Caenorhabditis elegans: one gene and its partners. The protein of the gene in region 4 purifies or fractionates together with the protein of the main gene of each other region. This does not show direct contact. Each region holds a gene or a part of one and is shown on either strand. Other genes may lie near its edges.

Region 1 (3,524 bases), 4.8 Mb from region 4:
ATCCTCAAAAATCTTCTCACTTCGAGACCACAATCTGACCCACATTTCCCGAGCTGCTCGGAGCATCAGCTCCTTATCCTGCTCCTGCAAAACCAACAAAACCTTCATTGCTCCAGTAGTACGGTACTTTTTGATCCATTCCATGAACAATGGTGGTGGAGTCAATGGAATATCCCAGAACTTTGCAGTTCGCTTCAAATCAGTCATCATCATAATTGATCGAGCTGGGAGCATTGCTGGAGGACGATTTCCTGATTCTTTCATGACGGCTCCGAGGAAAAATGGAATGTAACGGATTGTTACTCCTTTCCATTGGGTTTCCAGTTTTTGGAAGACCTGCAATTTATCATTGCATAATTTCTATAACTATAATAAATTTACGAATTTTAAAACTAAAAAATATTATTGTACCGTAACACTGTTCAAAAAAAATTCCTGACTTCCTAGGATAAGAGAACCATCGACACATGCGTACAACCACAGTTTTTTATGTAATATCGTATATAAAAAAAACCAACCTCAAAAGCAATATAACTGTACGGAGAAATCACGTCAAAATAAAAGTCGATACGTGGAAGTTTTGGCATTTTCCAAAATTAATTCGAATTTTTGGGCACGGCGAACGGAAATCTGCAAGACAAAAATCCGTAAGTTGAGTGTAGATTTGGAAAAGATGTTTTGAAAAATATTCGCGGGAACGATAAAGTAGATCAAAGTTATATTTTCTGCAATTTTTCTTTGAGAACCCGTTTAAAAAATTAAATAAAAATTGCACAAACAACCGTGTGGTTTTATAAGTTTTCGAGACAACGAACTGTGATCTATGTTCGGTTTGCAGTGATAAGAAAGTGGGAAATGAAGATAGATGCAAAAATAACGTGGGAAAATAATAGTTCTAGAGAAGTAAAGCAACGTGGTGACTTGTTCCACACCGTGAGACTACACTGTAGCTTGTATCGGGAAAAAGATACGCAGAGATGACAGACAATCTGGTTTCTCTGCGTCTAGCTCTCTTGGTTTGAATGATGCATTGGGGAAACTACAAGAATACCTTGGATATTTGGAAAACGCGTATATCAATTTCTTAACCTTTCAAAAATTAAAGCTTTTCTGGATACCTGGAAAGTCCCAATTCGCGTTTTTTACATGGAATTTTCATAAAAGCTTTCTTTTAAAAATGTTTATTTTCTTTTTCCATTGACATATTTTGCATAGCAAGGATCTTTGGAGCTTTTCAAAGCACAAACCTTTGGAATTCATTTGCCGGTGTCTTTTGAGTACCTGCACCTGACACCTGGCACCTGACACCGAGAAAACATTTTTCCTGTGATCATAATTCATTTGGAATTTTTATCAATCAAGATCTGCAATCACAATATGTATTGTGACGTAATAAGGCCATCAAGACATATTGAAAGATTTACAAGGGTTCGGGGAAGAAGGAGGGAGGATAATAAAATGACCACGGGTGTACATTGTTATTCTTTTATTTTTATTTTCTCGCGCGTTTTTGGTTCTACTTTTTGAACTATCTAGTTTAACATTCAACTTCCTCCTTGAATATTTGTTAAATTTCTAAAGTTACGACTAAAAATTGTTTGAAAATTTAAATTTTTTGTCAGGTGTTATAATTTTTGAAAGTTTGAACTTTTTGCAGACTAGCTGCTAACACCTTTATACCAATATTTGATAACAAATCGTATCAATATAAAAACTGATAAGATACTAGTTAGCTCGGTGCATCATTTCAATTTCGAGTAGACTATTAACAATAGTTATTTGATATTGAACCTGCTATATAATAATGTCTGATGTGAGTTTGGACCTATTTAATTGTCAGTTTGGAAATTAGAAACACTGGTTTTACTTTTTGAGTTAAAATGATTTTGAAAACTAATTAAACAATTGAATTTTCAGTCTGAAACAATGTCTGCTGCAAAATCTGCTGCCCATATTCTGAAGAGAGTGTTGATGGTTCCACCAAAGCATTTCACAGTCGAATACACAATCAATCCATGGATGGGAGGAGTTGTTGACAAGCAAAAAGCTCATCAGCAATGGAATTCTTTGAAATCTGCAATCGAAAACGCTGGTGTTCCAGTTTTGACAATGGAGCAAACAGAGGGTCTTCCAGATCAAGTTTTCGTTTGTAATAGTGGATTGGTCTATGATGATCAGGTTTACTTGTCCAGATTCAGGCATAAGGAAAGGTGAGTTTGAAAAAAGAATAAAGGAAATTGTGTGTGAAACATTTTATGTTTTTACAGAAGCGGTGAGCAACCACTCTACTTGGAATGGTTCAAGAAGAACAATATCAAAACTATTGGGGAAGGATATGAAGAGGTATAAATTTGCCAGAGAATTTTTGTTCTCCATTTTGAAACATAAAATTTCAGATCTTCGAAGGCGGAGGAGATGCTGTATTTTCTGACCGTAAAACTCTTTGGGCTGGTTATGGAGAGCGTAGTTCAAAGTCTGTCTACGAGAAAATCAAGGCACTCGGGACTTTTGATATTGTTCTCTGTGATATGATTCTTCCAAACTTTTATCACTTGGACACTTGTTTTGCTCCAGTTGATGAGACCAGCGCCCTCTACTACCCACCTGCATTCTCTGAGGCAACCAATAAGGAGGTGAGTTTTTTTTTGAAATCCCTAGTTAAAAAACTTTTTGTGTGCAGATCCTCCGTCGTCTTCCAAACTCGATTGCTGTCTCCGAAGCTGAAGCAAATGCTTTCGTGTGCAACGCCATCACTATTCGTGATACCGTAATCTCCCCAATCGGTGTCTCTCAAGCAACCAAGGATTATCTGTCGGCTCGTGGAAAACGTGTCGAAGAAGTTGATATGAGTGAATTTATGAAAAGTGGTGGAGCTTGTCAGTGCTTGGTGCTCAGATTGCTCTAATTGTGATAGGATGAATTGATGGCTGGATATTTGAATTTTTATAGTGAATCTTTGATGAAGTTTTGAATAAATAAAGCGTTTACTGGAATATTTCAAATTGGAGTGTTGGCTTTCAAAAAGCCGTCTAAAAAATTGAGAGTTTGGTTGAGCTTAAGCCAAAAAGAGTCAAGTAAAAAAGATGCTATTATAATATAGCATTGTGAAGCTATCGAGAAATCAGTGTTGTACGTAAAATTTTTCAAAAAAAAAAATTCTGATTTTTCTCTCACTTCACTGCTTTACCGTTAAAGTACGGATTCCCGAGTTAAATTTCAAGTTAATTTTAAATTCAGATAAGTTTTGAACCTTTTCAGCTTTCAATTTGTATGATCTTCATTGGAAAATATAACCACAAAAATCACATGAGAAAGATACTAGAACCGGTAGGAGGGTAAGGGTGGCACTGAGAAATTCTAGAATTGTAATGTTACAACTGATCACTTTTCTTCTCATCTCTCTTTTGGGTATTTTGTTGTGGTATTCATTTCTAGAAAAAATATTATATTCTGTATTTCAACAAATGAAGAAGATTACTTTATTATCTGGAATTTTGTTTCTTATTGGATATTCTGATGCAGAG
Region 2 (4,309 bases), 8.1 Mb from region 4:
GGAAAAAAACCTTCTTATCAATTTTTCAAATATTTTAAAAGCCATAAAAATATTTTTTTAAATTTTTAGCAAAGTCTCAAAATCTAAGTTTTGTTTTCAAAAATATAGAAATTTTAAAATTATTTGTTAAGTTTAATGTTAGAAAAGTTCGTGATGACATTAATGATAATGAGATATGAAAATTGACCATTTTGCCAACGAATTCCTAAAAAAATTCAACCTTAAAATATGCCAAATTTCCAAAAGAACCCAGTGTATCGCCGTACCTGGTCTCCAAAATCCTGCTATTCTCGACAATTCTCTCAAAACATACATAGATCCTTGATAACAGCCAAGGCCAAAAAGCTTTCAGCAACAAAATTCAAATATGCCGGCACGCCGCGCTTCAAAGGACATTCCTACGATTGTTTGCGTGTCGCGTAGTAATGTTTCTTCGTTCTTCCCCGCCTCTAGTCATCCCTAATTAGTACAGTAAGCCGGCAATATTTAAACGGTTCCTTGAAGAAAAACGGGGGGGGGGGGTGAAGGATTCTAATTATTCTGGTGACACCTGGCGCCATTGTTTTGTTTCTGTTTCTGTTTCTTTATTTATTCTAAATACATTTACATTGAACATAAGAAACAATAACGTATATGGTACAACCAATAATAAAATAAGTACAATAAGAAAAATGACTAATAAACCGTAAGGGACTTCTCGTACAGAGTGCTGATAATTTCACGATCCGCAGACTTTGGAGAGATTGCAATATTTGGGACGGAGTGGCTGGCTGCTTCAGTAAGCATTTCTGAAAATAGTATAATATAAGGCAGTTCAACTAGAGAGAGGTGTTCTACCAATATCAGAAAATTCGAATCCCATTCCTTTCAGTCCATTTGGAACTCCAAAGTCTCGCATATAACCTCTCAGCCGATCACAAAGAGTTCGGGAAATGTACTCATTGCTGGCATTGTTCTGGAAATATCTAGTTAGTTCAGAACCATCTTGGTGGCCAATTTACATACCGGAATATCTGCACCAAGAGTCTGTGCAGAAATCAAATGTCTATCTGGGCACGCGGCAGTTGTAAACTCGAAATCAGCCACTGCGGTTGTCATTACAGAGAGTCCATGTGGAATCAAGTTCTTCTCCTTTGGATAATCATCAGCCACACAGCTTTTCGCCTGGGAGCTGATTGGGTAGGAGAGTCCGTGGCAAAGATGAACCCCAGCGTTTCCGAATCCAATCCCAGCAAATGAACTAGCCTTGAGCATTTCTGTACGAGCTTCTTCGTCGGTTGGATCGAAGATAGAACGGCGGAAGTATTTTCCAATGATCTGAAATTATATAAATTCATTTAGAGCTTCATGGTTGAAATTCCAACTCACTCTCAAAGCCTCTTTACTCCAGACATCACTGATCGGGTTGGAACCTTGATAAAGTGGACGAACTCCTGGATTCTCAGGGCGTGGAGATCTTTGATCGAATGGCAAAGCTGTGAAGCTTTCCAACGCGTGACAGAGAACATCGAAACCAGAATAGATTGCCACGTTTCGAGGCATACTCATCACATTCAACGGATCCACAACTGCCAAGTACGGCTTGATGCAACGAAGTCTGATTCCAGTCTTGCACTTGTGCTCTGGAAGATCCATGATTGCAGCCGCGGTAGTCTCGGATCCAGTTCCAGCAGTTGTTGGCACAGCGATCAATGGGAGCATTGGGTTCTTTGGTTGCATGGATTTTCCGAATGGTGGTCCAACAAAGTCGAGGAAGTCCGCTTCTGGATTAGAAGCATATAGAGCTGCAGCCTTCGTCGTGTCGATCACAGATCCTCCACCAACAGCGATGAAACTATCGAATTGCTTCGATTTGGCAAATGCGATTGCTTTCTGCATACTGTTGACGGTTGGCTCAATGAGCACATCATCAAACACCTCATACTCGATATTCACCATTTTTAAGGCTTGCTCGGCGTTTCTAAAATTTGTCTGTTGAATAATTTTAGAGCTTTAAAGCTTTCCTATAACTCACTTAAAAGCGATCGTATTCTGCACATTCTTATCAGTGATAAGCAACGTTTTCTTTGCTCCGAGATTACGGACGTCGTATCCAATCTGATAAAGTTCACAGTTGAGTTAGTGATGTGTGATATTGCTAGCAAACCTCCAACGTGACTCCTTTTCCGAAACGAAGAGTTGAGCACACCATCTCGAACGCGTAATCTGTTGACTCTGAAAATATTGGTTTTTTAGAAAGTTTTCAGGCAGGCACGCCTACCTGCGTGCCTGCTCGGGTAAAAAACTAACTGTTATTTCCATGAAGCTTTGCAAGTTTGAATGGATTTGTAGCTGGGGCATGGTGAGGACAGCATGAGCCGCCCATCTTGCTCAGTATTCCACGTGCCAGACTTGCACTCATTTTGCTGAAAAAAAGAAAAGTATAAAACAATTGCCACGTGCCAACAAAAACTCACAAATAAAATGTCGTAAACGCAATGAAATCGAGAAATAAATTGATTCGTAAGGTTTTTATTTAAAGAATTTAATTTTTAAATTCAATAAATAAATCGCGCCAACAATAATTATTATCACGTTTATGTACAAACACGTGGAGAAATAGAGAAGAAAACAAGTGGAATGGAGGAGAGAGGAGAGACGCAGACGGGCAAACAGCAGTGATCAGTTTTCGAACATTAATGTGAGGGGAAGATGGTTTGATCTGAATAGACTCGTGGGCACAAAAGTTGAAATTTTGGCTTGCAAGCTAATTTCAGCTTTTGAAATCTTGTTTTTTTTTTCAGAAACCAGCAAGATGTCGGCTGCTAGAGGCGCTCCAAAAATTAAGATTTACAGGTTTCTAAATTAGTATTTGAACCCGGAAAGTGTCGGCTGCAAGACTATTCTTTCAGTTGTCTTGGACGGGCCGACGTCTCACGGGTTGCTGAAGCTATGAACCACATGAGCTCAGTTGCTGGTAGAAGCTTGTAGTTGTAATCTTGTACGAGATTCGAACTCGGAGATTAGTAAGAGTTGGAAAATGACAAATTTTAGATCATGAAGAAAAACAGAAAATCGCTAAATTTGTCAAAACGTCTCTGAAATTGGCAGTCTCCCCCGCCCTAGATTTTTCAGGATTCCAACTTTTCTCATGGTTATGGCTGTTTTCAGCCTCCAAAGTCATTTATTACACATCCATAGTTTACAACAGAAAAACACTAGAATAAACAAAAAATAAAATAAAAACTAGACATCGAGTTCACTTCTGAGCTTTCACGGATTCGCATTGTAGAAGACATTCTTGTTCGGCTGCTCCGCTTTTCCAGGTGGCGCCATTGCAATGTAGTGAACCATCGGAGCAAGTTGCTCCGGCTCCATCAAAATCTCAACTGGTTTTGGAGCAGAATCACCTGCCTTTTTCGGATCCTTTGGCAGAGCAAATGCAGATGAACCATTGGGGTTTTTGTCGAATTTCTCCCGCAGCTCGTTGAGGGCATACTCGGTTTTTGCCTTGTAGTGGAATCGAATGAAGAGCTGGAAAAGAGAGAATTAGATAGATTTTTGGTAAAATTTTTTTGTGTGCATGAGAAACGCTAGCCTATGTGCCTACAGTACGTGCCTGCAATTGTTTAAAAAAGGAACAAGAACTTTTGGATATGAAAAACGTAGAAAAACGATAAATTGTAGTTCAAAATATCTCAAAAACAAAAATTCCTGCTCAGGCGTCGAAGGCGTAGGCAAGTAGGCAGGCATTTTCATATTCCACAACACAATAATCTTGTAGCCAGAAACTCACATGAACAGCTAGAAAAATGACAATCATGACCAGGATAATAGCCATAAAAACGTCAACTGTCTCCTGAACTTGACCAGTCACAACACCTACAATTTTCAGAACTGTTAGAGTATGAGATATTGTGGACAAGCTCACTCAATCCATCACTGTACGGGCCATTTTGAGGATCTGAAAATCCAAGGTTTAAGATGTTGAAGTCCAGGAGTTTTGGCTCCAAGTCGAGCAGTAGTGGCTCCATAATTTGTAACTTTTTTCAAAACTCACAATAGCTATTTCTGACGAAAGTGAGGTTAGACATCCTCCTCGAATTGTGAAAACTTTGGAAATACATTTTATTTCCATTTATTTGGATATATCCACGTCAGATTATTTTTGTTGTTCCAACTCATTCTCTTCTCAAAATATAAAATATTTTTTAATACAAATTACACGTTTTTATTCACTGATTGTAAAATTGTAAACTATATGTACAAACACTGGATTGGGGAACCCGTTGAAATCGAGGTTTAAAATCTACAGAAAAAATAAAAAGTT
Region 3 (2,662 bases), 320 kb from region 4:
GTTGAGGTAGATTTATTTTTGTAAAAAAATAGCAAAATTTTATACTTTTTATTTATTCCAGATGCCCACCTTCCAACTCACAACGTTCAATTTTTAATTGGGCTCATCGAATTGTTGGCCTTCTCTCCTACACTTTTGCTGGTAAGTTTCCATGACTAGAATTCAAACTTTTTATACAAATTAAGTGGCCGCAATCTACGTGGCTGCCGCCAATTATCGAAAGACATGGTCAGAGCCAACAATGGAAATTGTGCTGACCAGTGTGCCGACCATTTTGTGTATCGCCACAGGATTCGTAGTTTTGTATTTGGAAAGCGAGCAGAGAAATGGGTATAGGGAAGTTGAAATGGTAAGATTTTTCAATTTGCATTTAAAGTTCTAAAGTTGGAATATCCTATGCAATAAGAACATTTCTACGAAGATCATACCATATCATGTTGCGAATCACATGAACCAGCAGTCCGTATGTAGTTTACTCCTACGGGCAATATAGGCCAAATCACTGGAGATTAAATGATTAATTTATTTTTATTTCAATTATTGGCAACAAAAATTGATAATTTAGTATTAAAGAAGTGTGGAAAAGGGGGAAAAGTTTCTAAAAAAGTTAGTGATCCAAAACATAATATCTCATTTGTAAAACTAATAGTTTCGGTAAACAGTGAGAAAAATGAGTTTAAAAATGTTTTAAACTTGAATTCCCGCGCACAAGAAGTTTGAATATTTTTTGAGAATTTTTTTCTTAATTTTCAGAATTTTGTTGAATGTTCAAAGCACCTGAATTGCAATTTTTTGCATCAAATTTGAGAAAAAAAACTAGAATTTTTAAGGTAAAAAGAACATGTTTTATTAAAATTTTCAAGCAAAAAATTCTACAAAAATTAAGACTAACTTTAACGTCACAAATTTTTCAATTCAACATTTGTAACACAAAAAAATGTTCCACAAAAGACACAACTTACAGATCGAAAAATCCGAAAAAAATTCCAAAAAACCGGAGCGTCTTCAACTTATCCAAATCTCATGGATGTTCGCCGTTGTTGGAATCTGCTTCGGTGTCGCCATTTCATTATCTCTTCTGATTGCAAATGGATTCAAAAATGACTAATCACCTCTTTTTCAATGACAACTAATTCTCGTACCAACCACTTTTCTCTTTCTGACCTGACCTGCAATAATCCATTAAACGGCTGTGTGTGTCCTCTTTCTCACTTTATCACCAACTATCTCTTCTAGAAAATAAATATATATTTTCTATATGTTTCTTCTTATAACAGAGTCTATACATTATTACATGCAATTCATCTTTCGCAACATTGACCGGCCTCAAAAAATCCGATAAAAGTACAATGGTGACTGGTGTTCTAGGAAATAGGATTGTTATGATAGGGAGTGATATCTTATCTCTTTTATTATCACAGCCTGACCTCAATATGTCAGAGGTGGAGTCTTCCGGGTGACCCTTTAAATAGTCCGGGCCTTGACACCGATAGGCTGTGTATTCTTCATTTCTTCGATCTTCCACCTGTTGCAGTTTTCTTTTATTTTTCAAAGTTAACATATCTATATTCATAGTAATTAATTCTAGAATGAACCGCTTCGCAATTCTCCTGGCTCTCCCACTTCTTGCTCTTGCTGCTACTCCAAATGAGAAGCTGAAGCTATGCTGTGCCACGTTGAAGGATGCCGATAAGGAGTGCGTCGATCGATTCTGTGACTTCAATGCTCTTTCTCAAGCTAACGTAAGTTGTCTCCTGAGAGCTAGTTGCGCGTCAATTCTGATGTATTTAGTCAGCTTACTAGAAATAACCATTACACGTTCTTATTTCAGATTCTGAACTTCATGTCGACTTGCGGAGAGCGTGGACCAACTGTCGGAGAAATGTGGGATTGTGCTTCCCTCCGTCACAACCACGAGGACTGCTGCAAGAAGGCCGGTGTCTCTGGAGAATGCCTCAAGTACTGTACCGCTCATAAGGGAGCTCCATCCAACTATTTGGACTATGCTTTCTGTACCGAGAACTTCAACGAGATCCGTGATTGCTTCTACAACCATTTGGACAAGAACGAGCCATTCAAGAAGCTCTAAATGGAAATATAATAATTGAAATTTTCTTTATATTATGAAACGTGTATTTAATAATATGGAATAAAGATCAACTTGATGATAAAGTTAACAGTTTTCCAAGCTATTTTGTCTTTTGATTGGCTTGTCCGGAGTTCTGGAATTGCCAGTTCAAAGGCACATGATGTTTTTCCAAGTGGGTCTCGCCACGATCTCAGACATAATTGTCGTTACAGGGCCCAGTTTTCCAGGTGAAATAGAAAATATAGTTTATGAAATTTCAAACTCAAAATTTCCGGTAGAAAGCCCGGATTTAGGACCTAGTTCCATGTTTCCGCAATGTCCTACAAAATTCCCCCATTTTCCAAAACTACAGTAATCATACAGTACTCAATCACTACTTTACCCAAGCTACAGCAACTAACAACATAACTTTCCCAAGTTTCACGTCTCGCCTTCTTTCTCGTATTGTTTTGTTTTGACAATTTGAAGGAAAAAGCTGTTGAGTCGAGTGTTTGTCGGGGCGGCTCACACTGTAGTACAATAAGGCTTCACATGCGCCTACATAGGTAATCGCGTGCACTTAAAACGGAAAGT
Region 4 (3,609 bases):
CATTCCTCTATTGAAATTCTATGATCCTCAAAGCTTTGTCCAGCATATACAAATATCTGTCGAATAACCTCTCCAGCTCCACGGATGGGGAAATATGATAGCTTGTAGTGGACCATTATTACTACCACTTTTCAAGTAATTGGGGAGTACAAGTCTGTGATACAGTTTGAAATAAAAACCAAGAAGTTTCTATTTATACTCATATTCTCTAAGTGTGTGTGTACTGTTAAGTCATCACTGCTTTGATCGCACTCTGCTGACAACAAACCACAAATATAGTTTGGCGTTATGTCTGTTTCAATGAACTGGTTGAATTAGATAAATGTACATTAAAATAAAGAGTATATTGGAAACTTTAAAGTTTGTCATCATTTACTCTTCCCACTGCGCAGATGTTACTGACAACTCAGTTCAAAAAGTGCCTTTTCATGATGATTCGGATGTCTGAACAAATATATCGGTTGCTTCTGCTATCTTATTTTTTAGAGAACTTTTCAGAATAAATAGATTTCAATGCAATCATTTATCCCATATCAATACAAAAATACATAAAGAGACCATGTGAATTTGGAAATCATTTAGAATGGAGTAACTGGACGAGTCTCCAACCACTTCTTGATGTTGGCATTCGAGTGAACCTTTTCCTGATGAGCCTTGAATTGTGGGAATTCATCGAGAAGAGCTGCGTTGGCAGCCAGAAGATCAGCAGTGTGCTGAGCGACGAGCAAGTCGACAAAGGTCAAAGAGTCTCCAACCAAGTATCCGGATCCAGCCGACTTGAGGAAGTTAGCAAAGAATCCATAGTGCTTCTTGAATCCTGGAAGGAAGACGTCCTTGGCAAGAGCATCGAGATCTCCTTCAGCAAATCCCATCTTCACCATGAAGTATGGACGAACTTCGTTGAGGTAATCCTTGAATTGATCAGCAACCGAGTTGACTTGAGCCTCCTCCCATGCACACTTTCCATTGATTCCGAACTGACGAGCCAAGTAACGGGCGATAGCATGAGATTGGGCAAGAACCTTTCCGTCAACTTCAAGGAGTGGAAGCTGTCCGAATGGAGTGCCTGAAAAATAATATAATTAAAACCTAAAGTTCAAAGTTTTCTTTGAGTAAACAATCATTGACTCCAAACTTCTATCTCTCAGTCATACCAAGCACTTTGTTTACATCTCTAGGTGTCAAACTGCCTAGAGTTTAGCCTTGAATTTTTTTTTCCTTTTTCAAGGTCTATTCATTCGAACACCGAAATTTCAATAACTTTCAAAAAGTAACTCAATAACAACTTCAATCTACTCTAAAGGCAAAAAGGCAATTTGTGTGACCTAGTTAATAGGAACAGGAAAGGTAAGGAATATACCGTACCTGCTACTTTAACGGCTTACATCTCGGTTCTCTTAACTTTTATCAAAAAATGTTTAACTGACAATATTTAAAAGTATATTCTTCACGTATTTTGTCAGTCAAAATTTTTTTGATAAAACCAAAGACAGCTTAACTAAAAGCCTGCAACTATTTCTAAAATGAATTTTTAATTTGGAACTACTTATAAGATTTCAACTAACAATTTCAATATCTATGCACCTATTCAAACAATAATTTTCAATCCCAAACTCACTTGGCTTGACAGCTGGCCATTCCTCCTTTGGGATTCTGTTGTCCTCGAAGTCTTGTCCAGCGTAGGCCAAGATCTGACGAGCAATCTCTCCAGCTCCACGAATTGGGAAGTACGATACCTTGTAGTGGACCATTGTTGAAATAACCAAGCAAGAAATCGAGTGGTCGATGAGAAGGGTTGAACACTGAATGCCGGCCGTCTCTATTTATACCCATTTCTCAAATGTCTGTCGTCTCTCCACTCACCATATTCTGTAGTTTGTCATCATTTGCTCTACACATTGCGCGCACGTTGTTGACTAGAAATCATAAAGTGTAGTCATCGTTTTTTGTTGTTGCAATGTTACGATGAACAGAGTAGGTCAAAATAATATTGGTTGAAAAAAATATATGCAAGGTTTTGTGACTTTTCCAGATCTTTCGAAGGGAATGTTGTGTCACAATTTGTGACTACTCACAAATATAAACCCATGGCATCAATCATCTTGTTACGCTTGCCATTATTATTGAAGATACCATGATAAGAAACTACTATAACTGACACAAAAAGTCACAAAAAATATTTTTTTTTGTTTCTGAAATTTTTCCGACAGTACAACACAATTTCATAATCTCGCGCAAAAGAGGCGTAGGCATTTACCGCAGCCTACGTGCCTGCCTACAGCCTAATTTCTGGGAAGGTGCCTGATGAACAATGATTTCCTATGGAATTTGTCTTTGAAATAATTTAAGTCTCACTTTGAAACACAAACGTGCTTTCTTTTGAGGGTTATACACCTGCCTTTGAAAAGACTATCCTCCAAAAATAAATAAAAGATTACATATTTATTGTGCCCACCGAAATTTGAAAATTCTTATTATGTTCATGTTCCAGAAAACGACGCTTTTGTAATTTTTGACAATAAAAGTCAAATTAACATTATGACGTGATTGGTTTTGTGCTTTGAACATTGTGTCTCACCAGGGAATGTTCGGAAAGTTTTAGCTATGATGGTAAACCACAAAGGAAGGCGGTGTAGGTCTGATTTGTACCTAAAAGCATGCCTACTTCCCAGGCTTTTGTAAATATCCTGTATATTTCAACACTCTTGCAATGCAAAAAGCTTCTATAGAAACATCCTGCTGAAAACTTTACCATAAAATTTTTAAAAGAACAATTCATTCAAGATATTTTAGAAACATCGATTTCCATTAAAACAAATTAGCAAAAAATTGCTTCTTGAAATATGAATTAAAAAATAATACAAAATTGCAAACTCATTTCAATTTAGAATGGGTAATCTGGACGGTTTGCAATATACTTCTGAATTCTGTCGATGCTCTGAACCTTCTTACGATGTGCCAAAACCTTCTTGAACTCCTCAACAACTGCCAAATCTTTATCCAAAATATCTTGAACGTGCTGCGAAATCAAAAGATCCACCCATGTCAAAGAGTTTCCAACAAAGAAACCACTGTGATTAGATGCCAGAATGTTCTCGAAAAACTCGAAATTCTTTTTGAAAGCTGGAACAAAAACATCAGTTCTCAGTTGATCCTTGTCTCCAGGTTTGAATCCAGCAAGAACTGTTAAATATGGGGAGACATCGTTGAGATAATCCTTGAATTGATCAGCAATTGCATCCACTTCTGCCGCCTCGGTGTCATTTTGTCCAGCAATTCCGAACTCTCTGGCCAAGTACCGAGCAATTGCATATGACTGTCCCAATGGTTTTCCATCGACTTCCAAAATTGGCAATTGACCGAATGGAGTGTCTAGAAATTTGAAATTTGAGGAGAAGTGTTTTAAAATAAAATCTAATCTTAATTTTAAAAAAGTATGAAGGTCTTAGAAAATTTTTCGGATTAGTTCGATCTCCAGGAGCGACTTTTCCACAGTGTCCAAGATGTTGTCAGAAAGCACAATTCCATAAAAAGTTTCAAGCATCAAGTTTTCCTCGTACCTACAACCTTTTTTCTGAACTTCTGACTGATCACCCTAAATCAGGAAAT

The links.
Region 1: the proteins of gst-7 (region 4) and ZK1307.1 fractionate together in Caenorhabditis elegans (co-fractionation; one large-scale study listed by BioGRID). This does not show direct contact.
Region 2: the proteins of gst-7 (region 4) and hphd-1 fractionate together in Caenorhabditis elegans (co-fractionation; one large-scale study listed by BioGRID). This does not show direct contact.
Region 3: the proteins of gst-7 (region 4) and dbd-2 fractionate together in Caenorhabditis elegans (co-fractionation; one large-scale study listed by BioGRID). This does not show direct contact.

Annotation. Positions count from the first base shown.
Region 1 is NC_003280.10:9,653,812-9,657,335, reverse strand, and holds ZK1307.1 (Amidinotransferase), read left to right. Parts: upstream 1-1,755; 5' UTR 1,756-1,804; coding exon 1,805-1,813; intron 1,814-1,917; coding exon 1,918-2,210; intron 2,211-2,267; coding exon 2,268-2,343; intron 2,344-2,396; coding exon 2,397-2,633; intron 2,634-2,680; coding exon 2,681-2,905; 3' UTR 2,906-2,991; downstream 2,992-3,524. Other genes in the region: gstk-1 (Glutathione S-transferase kappa 1), read right to left, coding at 1-336, 519-587; ZK1307.2 (uncharacterized protein), read left to right, coding at 3,465-3,524.
Region 2 is NC_003280.10:12,993,792-12,998,100, forward strand, and holds hphd-1 (Hydroxyacid-oxoacid transhydrogenase, mitochondrial), read right to left. Parts: upstream 2,554-4,309; 5' UTR 2,457-2,553; intron 2,406-2,456; 5' UTR 2,402-2,405; coding exon 2,290-2,401; intron 2,215-2,289; coding exon 2,147-2,214; intron 2,098-2,146; coding exon 2,015-2,097; intron 1,961-2,014; coding exon 1,369-1,960; intron 1,318-1,368; coding exon 1,006-1,317; intron 956-1,005; coding exon 838-955; intron 789-837; coding exon 676-788; 3' UTR 571-675; downstream 1-570. Other genes in the region: Y38F1A.7 (uncharacterized protein), read right to left, coding at 3,253-3,513, 3,776-3,861, 3,911-4,013; Y38F1A.8 (Serpentine Receptor, class T), read right to left, coding at 4,309-4,309. UniProt on the Caenorhabditis elegans protein: Catalyzes the cofactor-independent reversible oxidation of gamma-hydroxybutyrate (GHB) to succinic semialdehyde (SSA) coupled to reduction of 2-ketoglutarate (2-KG) to D-2-hydroxyglutarate (D-2-HG).
Region 3 is NC_003280.10:4,561,362-4,564,023, forward strand, and holds dbd-2 (DB domain-containing protein), read left to right. Parts: upstream 1-1,588; 5' UTR 1,589-1,589; coding exon 1,590-1,742; intron 1,743-1,831; coding exon 1,832-2,089; 3' UTR 2,090-2,099; downstream 2,100-2,662. Other genes in the region: M03A1.8 (ascorbate ferrireductase (transmembrane)), read left to right, coding at 1-6, 62-141, 186-349, 965-1,108.
Region 4 is NC_003280.10:4,880,261-4,883,869, reverse strand, and holds gst-7 (putative glutathione S-transferase 7), read right to left. Parts: upstream 1,779-3,609; 5' UTR 1,752-1,778; coding exon 1,619-1,751; intron 1,067-1,618; coding exon 579-1,066; 3' UTR 512-578; downstream 1-511. Other genes in the region: gst-8 (putative glutathione S-transferase 8), read right to left, coding at 1-116; gst-6 (putative glutathione S-transferase 6), read right to left, coding at 2,885-3,372.